2 linked regions of the Rhinolophus ferrumequinum genome follow. The protein of the gene in region 2 purifies or fractionates together with the protein of the main gene of each other region. This does not show direct contact. Links are inferred from orthologs where the notes say so. Each region holds a gene or a part of one and is shown on either strand. Other genes may lie near its edges.

What was found.
Region 1: the proteins of STAU1 (region 2) and G3BP2 purify together in Homo sapiens (affinity purification with mass spectrometry; 3 studies listed by BioGRID and IntAct, with this or other methods). This does not show direct contact. The link is inferred for Rhinolophus ferrumequinum from reciprocal best matches to the Homo sapiens genes STAU1 and G3BP2.

The regions. Positions count from the first base shown.
Region 1 is NC_046288.1:32,119,567-32,123,314, reverse strand, and holds the start of G3BP2 (ras GTPase-activating protein-binding protein 2), read left to right. Parts: upstream 1-1,152; 5' UTR 1,153-1,310; intron 1,311-3,748. Other genes in the region: USO1 (general vesicular transport factor p115), read right to left, coding at 665-730.
Region 2 is NC_046306.1:10,054,975-10,058,722, forward strand, and holds the start of STAU1 (double-stranded RNA-binding protein Staufen homolog 1), read left to right. Parts: upstream 1-1,303; 5' UTR 1,304-1,438; intron 1,439-3,748. UniProt on the Homo sapiens protein: Binds double-stranded RNA (regardless of the sequence) and tubulin.

The sequences.
Region 1 (3,748 bases), on a different chromosome or scaffold from region 2:
TCTGAACGGCGTGAGTGGAAGGGAGAGCGGGGAATGTGTCCCTAAAGCGGTTTAAGCGCGAAACATCCCTACAACGTCCAGGTATTTCCCAAATGGCATATATTTTGAGTCCGAAACACGGGGTCTGATCTAGTAACACCTGGTAGAACGACCTTCCTCCAGCTGATGGGACAGGAGCAGGTGGCTTTCTGCCCCAAACTATCTTTTTATTCTTAGCCACATGCTCTCTTTAACAGCTGGGTTTTAAACCCAGTCTTCCCCAATTCCCCATTCCAGACCTCGAGAGAGGGAGCAAGGACTTCAGGCTCCTCTCGGCCAGTGGAGACACCGGCGAAAAGCAAGGAGGGAGAGGCCCGCGGCCTCGAGGGGCGTGTAAGATAGGTCGTGCCACCTCTGCCCTGGATCGATCCCTTCCCGGCGGTACCACCCACCGACCATCCTCCCGCGGCTGCTGTCCGCAGGGCCGAGCCGCCGCGGTGGGGGGCTGCGCTGGGGGCGTAAGGGAATAACTCGGGGGTTTCAGGAGAAGGGAGGCAAAAGGGGAGGCGGCATGTGGATCCCCGGCCCACCGTGGGGCGCGGGAGGTGACCTCCGGGACCCCGAGTCCTCCGTCCCCGTTCCTGCCCGGACCCTTCCCAAGTCCCAGATCCGCTGCTCCTCTCACCGTCTCGGCTTCTGTGTGCTGGGGTCCGGCACTCTGACCCCCCATCACCCCGCGAAGGAAATTCATCTTGCCGCTCAGCCACCGGCTCTACCAGCCACTTCAGAAAAGAAAACTTCCCCTGTCCTCCGCAGGGCCTGGCCCCAGACCAGCAAGCACTCTACGATCCCCGGGCACCGCCACCGCCGCCTCCTACTCGGCGGCCGCTCCAGCCCCCTGAGCCCGGAAACAGCGGCCACCAGCAGTCGAAATGCGCATGTGCGGGGGACGTGGCATTACGTGGCGGCTCGAAGGGCGAAGGCAAAGGGGTAAAGTAGGCGAAACAAGGCCGAGAGCACGGGTCCTCCCAAGCCCCGCCCACTACTCAGGCACCGCCTCCCTCCGCAGGCACCGCCTCCCTCCGCAGGGACCGCCTCCCTCCGCAGGGACACGCCTCCTACTCCCGCCCTTCGCAGGTCGCTGGGGCTGGCCCCAGCCACCCACGTGGTCGAAGCCCGGCCCTGCGGGCTGGAGAGCATCCCGACAGTGTACGTGTTTTGGCTTGCAGCGTGTTCAGTTGTTGCGGAGCGGGACGCACTGCAAGCTATCGTACCGGAGAGTCGAATTTTGTTGAGTCGAAACTGAAATTGTCCTTAGGCCGACGTGACAGGTAAGGGGTCCTGACCCTTGGCAGGGTTGGTTTGGTTTTTTGGTTTAGCAGTCCGAGCGCTGTGGCCTTCTGATCCCCGTAAATTGCATTTCTTTACAGGGCTTTGTTTGGTAGTAAAGAGGGTGCTAGAGCCCCCTCATTCTACTTCCACGGGAGGGCGCATTTCTCAGATCTTGCTCTTCAAACCTGCGAAAAGGAATTCCTAGATCTAAACACCAGGTACACCGCTATTTTTAAGTGGTGTGAGGAGAAAACCAAGCGAACCCTGCATTTAGCTTACTAGGGAAAATACATTGCTCTGCAGTGTCAGTTTGACAGCTAGTAGCATAATGTTTTGTTACTAACTTTCAATCTCTGCATTTTCAGCGGGTTTTCTTAGCATGAAAAATGTCCTTTTTTCATATCTGTATGCCTTGTTCGTTTCAGAATGAGTTGTCAGGTACACGTGCATGTGGAGTAGTCTTGTAAATTTCTTGAGTCTAAAAAGTGTACGGCCCAGTTACCCAACTGATTCATACACCTCCCCACTTAAATGTCCCACGGGTCTCAGATTCCCCAGCCTCCCTATAAAAAAAAAAAAATTCAGTATGCTTCCTATGCACAGTACCGCTAGCCAAATAATTGCCTAAACTAGAAGTAGAAAGCAGGAAAGACTTTTAAACTCTGGATTTCATCCCCGTATGTCTACTAGTCAAGTCCTATCATGTCTATTTATAGAATATAGTATTTCTCAAATAGGTCCTCAGCTTTCCCTCCTCTGTGCCTCTGAGATAATTTATGTTCTCATCATTTTTCACCAAGCTTATAGTAATAGTTTCCTAACTAGTTTGTCAGTATTCAAGCTCTGATTTCCCTCCATTCCTGTCTCCAGTCCACCCTTGGATGAGCCTTGCATCAGCAAATCATCTGCATGACAGTCCTCTTCTTAAAATCCTCCAGTGATAAAGTCCAAACTCCATAGTTTGGTATACAGGCCCATCATGTTCTGACTTCTGCCTATCTGTCCAGCTCCTCCTTCACATACTCTGGATATATGCCCTACCTCTCCTTCTTCATCAAGGAAACACCTGCTAGTTCCTTAAGACTTAACACTGGCATCTTCTGAAAACTTTCCCTGAAATACACACACACACACGCACACACACACACTAGTGCTTTTCAGTTAATATATGTGGTAAACTCTCAGTAAATGCTTGTTAAGTCAAACTGTTGAGGGCAGAATTATGTTACCCATTTTTGTACGTCTGTTGTTTAGCACTCTCATGAGAGGTGGTATTGATGCATAAATGAAGAAAACATTAAAGGATATATGAACATTATGCTGTGGAGGAGGGTCCTTTTTCCATCTCTAAGGTGAAATTGTGGATAATACATACTATCACAAAGGCTATGGTGAAAGTTCCTTTGCTAGTGCCAATGTTTTAAGCCTGGGTGTCTTGGATAATAGTGGGGATCATACTGCCAAAAATACTGTGCACTAAGCATTGTCCTCTGCTTTAAAACGAGACACTTGACATTTTGCATCAGACATTTTCCATGGGGGCATTTTGTTGCAGCCTAAAAAAAGTAACCAATAAATGCTCAGCTTTTTTATCACCAAGTAATGTGTGCAAAGAACTTGACCCAGTCCCTAAGCCTCACCCCTCCCTGAGCCTCTCCTCACCTCTATGTGCTTCACTCCACCCCATCATTAGGGATAAAGCTCTGAAATGCAGTGGGGCTCATGGATGTTTACATATATTATTTGGTAATAGAAAAAACAGTATCTTGACGTTTTAGCAAAATTGTTTTAATGCACTGGCCTGTTTTAAATGCCCGGCTTGGTTTTAAATTTTGGTGAGTATAGTAAGTCACTGTGAGTTTTCCCTTCATTTGACCTGTTTTCTTCCCGAATAGCATCCACTGGGCAGGAAGGACAATGGGCAGGAGGGATGGATATTTGGGTGCAGAGGAGCTGAAGGTTGAATCCCCATACTTCCCCCTGACCTTGCCTGTCTTGCCCTTCTGGTGTCTGGGAAAGGGTGGAGCAGCCTATTCTAGGCTCAAGAGAGGGTACAGTGGCTGATTTGTCTCTCAGTTGGGGTCTAAAAGGGGAGCAGAGGCATCATCACTATGGAACAGCCATGAAATAGACTCCTTATTTAAGAAAAAAGGGCCTCCATGTGAATGCACTTCTGCTGATTTTATAGAGAAAAGTCAGGGACCATGTCCTGTTCCTATTTGTACTCTAATCATCTAGCGTAATTCCTTTAACATGATAGATGGTCAAGAACCATTTCTTAAGTAAAGATAGAGAAAACATGAAAAAACTGTGACTGTCTGACTTAGGCCATTGTACTTCTGACTTTCATAAATCTAAACACTTACCGTGTTTCCCCGAAAATAAGACCTAACCGGAAAATGAGCCCCCGCATGATTTTTCAGGATGACATCCCCTG
Region 2 (3,748 bases):
GGCTGCATAGGAAGTGCGCTGGCACGGGCAGCAGCTATTAATTGAGCCCTTCTGTGATCCTTCTCCTCGGTTTCCTAACCCTAGACTCCCTTTCAGCTTCATCTCGGTTGTTAAAGACGTTAAAGACCGTGTCCAATAGACTAGGAAGCTGAGGGAAAGGGGTCTGAGGTCCTAATTAAAATTTCTGGAGTTTTCTCCCGATGTCTGGAGCTGATTGTTCAATGAAATACATGGCTAGTATTGTGGCTCCATGGATCTAGGTTGGTATATTTTCTGAGGGCATCCACCAGGCAGGATTGAAAAAGGGCCAGATTCTCATTCCCGCCTTGAGTAATACTCTGTAGTTTACACGCTTATTTATACCTTTTTTCATCCCCTCAATTAGGTGACCATATGATCTCTCTGAAGCCTGTCTTGAGCTTGGAACTGGTAATCCAAATGATTACCAGCACGGTGATTTGGGACCGCCTCTGCCCCAACCGAATGTTGGTCTGGTTGGCGCGCTGCTAACTCATCTGCATATCACTGGGCTAAAGCCCAGATACAGTTCTTTTCTTCCACGATACAACAAGTGGTAAAAATAGTATGTATATCTTGCCAGGTAAGATCATATAAGATGGCTGCTAAAACCCGCTTCATTTATCTAGAGCTGGAAGAAATAGCAATCTGGCACTTCTTGCCTTTTAAGTCACTCTAAAAGTTACTTATTTTATTTTTGTGTGTGTTACCTAAGAACGTGAGCTCTATGAGGGCAGGGATTTTTGTCTCTTTACCACCATATTTTTAGCTCTTGGAGCAGGGCTTTGCACAGAGCAAGCGTTTAATAAACATTTACGGATGGAGGAATTGAGGGAAAGAGAAAAATGAGGAACCGAGGCGGGAGAAGGACGGAGAGGAAAACCGGAAGAACGAATGGGGAGTGAGGAAAGAAGAGAGGCCCAGTCCCGCTTCCCGCGGACGGGTCACACCTCCCAGCTGAACTACAACTCCCAGCAGGTCCCGGCGCCCAGGGCGGGCTAGGCGGCTCTAGAGAGACCAGGTCCCAGCCCACTAAGTTCCCGGCGTGCCTTGCGAGCGCAGGCGCCCGCCGGGACTTGTGGTCCGGGCCGCGGGCGGGGGGTGGGGCCGGGCATGGAGGCGGGCGGGGGCTGGGGGCGGGCAGAGGCCCCTCCCCCGTCACTTCCTGCGGGGCTGCGGGCGCCGGAGCGGCTCTTCAGGGTTTGCGCCCGCGGCGGCCGTGTCAGGTTCGGCTCCCCGCTTCCTCTGATCCCCGGCCCGGCGGCGCCCGCCTTCTCCGCGGCCACTCCGTCTCTTCCCTCCTGCCGTCCCTTCTCTTCCCTTCTTCCTTCCTCCTTCCCCTCCTCGCCGCCGACACCGCCGTCGCCGCCGCCGCCGCCCAGGACCGCCGGCCGGGGGACGAGCGCCGGGGAACAGCCAGGTGAGGCGGCCAGGCCCGGCCTGGCGGCGCCCGCGCGGGCGCCGCGGCCGCGGGGAGGTGGGCGGCGGGTGGGGCCTAGGCCTCGGCGGGCCCGCGCGCCGGGCCTCCTTCCCCGGGCCTCCCGCTCCGCCCGCGGGGCCTTCCCGGAGGAGGCGGGTCCTCCCGCGCCCCCCGCGTCGGGGCGCCCCGCGGCCTGGACCCCAGGCGCTCCCAGCCCTTCCACCTCTTATTGGGGCCAGAAACAGGTGCCACGCCGCCTTTCCTCATTCCTCCGGGCGCGCCGGGATGCCGAAGTTATTCCCGGGGCGGAGGCGGAGGGTCCCCGCTTCAAGTCCTTGAGACCCGGAGCACCTAAATCCCCCCAAGCAGGTCTGTAGCATAGTAGTTAGCGCACCACCCAGGTGTTCAACGCGGGTACAAATCCAGCTTCGTCCCCGTAGGCCAGTCACCTAAACTCTTTGTTGTGTTGGTTGGAAAAAGGGGCTAAGGCTGTCCCTGCCTCTTAAGGCTGTTAAGGTTCAGTGAATTGGGGCGTGTAAAGCGCTTATCAGAGTGCCAGACCCACAGCGTGTCCCAATAAACCGTCTGCATAATTTATTAGCGTGATATTAAGGTATAACTTAGTGGGTAGAGTGGACATAGGTTGACCTACCTCCCCGTTTGAGTTTCCGTAGAGGCAGAAATGTTCAGCGTGCCTACCGCCAGCGCCGGCTTATTGTTTTGGGTTGTTAATATCTGAAAGGGGTGTACGTTTAATTGGGACACTCTGTAAGTAGGCAGTCTGTGACAGATAGATGCTGTTCTTTCCATCTCCTCCGCTGATCCACCTGCAAGATTTTCACCAGCTCTCTCCGTGTGAGCAACCTGTCCATTTTTTTCTGCCATCATCCGGCTTCTTGTTGTCATTCCATTTCTGGGAAAGTTGCTGGCAGAAGCTTTCCTTGAGTTCAGCAAACCCTTCTGGAGCGCTTGCTGTGTGCCAGGCTCTGGAGGGGGGTGTACGAAGCTGGAAAATGTGTGTCCTTTCTTGCCTGCATCTCTAACTTCTAACTTTTTTTTCACTGCAGCTGTGCTTTTATTCCCTCCGTCCCTGTTGGCTGACTTTCCTTTTAAGCCCTTGCCCCACCTCCGTGTCGCAGTATTGCTTATGTGGAAGTTTTCTTCTGCTCGGCGAAGATGTGTGCTTCAGTCTGTTCTGCCTCTGTTCTCTGGCTGTGGGGACGTTTTTAAGGTCACTCTTCCCTTCTGCTTGTAGCTTTAATTGTTTAGAGGGTGGTGGAAAGAGAGTTAAACCAGATTCTTGGTTGTTTTTGGGTTTTCAAGAATCGGTGTGCTTACCAAATGTAAACTACTTTGCTGCTTGTTGAAATAAAAACTACAAATACAGTTGGATTGTAGAGCGAGCAGTTTCGGTCATCCTGGTGACAGGTAGGATTTATAAAACAGCAACTTTATTTAAGGATGCAGAGTTTCTTTTAATTCTGTACTTAGTTCTGTAGGTGTACCCTTCATTAAGAAAATATAACTCATGGTGGTTCAGATTTACAGAAAAGTAAGGAGTGTCTTTGCTCTACTGAATGATCCTCCTGTACGTTGGATTATTTTAGGTAATACATTTCCTCACTGAACTTTAACTGTTTTGATTTACCACCATCTCAATAACACTCGTGATGCAAACTGGTCTCCCTGTTACTGACATTTTCCTAGAATTTTCTGACACATAGTCTTACCATCGTTTCTAGTTTAAAATCTTTGGATGACTCTTTAAAAACACGTAAGCAAACAACTAAACAAGCAACAGAAGACAAAGCATGTCTTTTGCCATATGGAAAATTGTAGTGTTAAGGAAATGATGTTTTAATACTGTAGTAGATAACCTAATTAAAAAAACCTTTTTATTATGGAAAACATACAAAAATCGAATAGTATAGAGAATCCCCATGTATTGGTCACTCAGCTTTGATAAATATTAACTCATAGCTAGGGTCAGTTTTTCTTTCATGTAGTACTGCCTCCCCCAAACTGGGTTTTGAAACAAATCTGAAACATCATATAATTTTACCAGATTTTTCCAGACTGTTAATCTGTCACAAAATTTACTTGTAGTAGAATCACAGTTCTCATTTTGTTTGTTGGGCTTCTCATCATCTCTTTTGACATGGTTACTATACAGTAGAAAAAACAAACAAACAAAAAACCAGCCGAATTATTATAGCTCTTGATTCAGTGTTTACCCCCCTCAAAGTCATATCCAAAGTACTTCCTGACTTCTTTGTGTGCAGAAGCAACGTTCTTGAGCTATTAATGTCT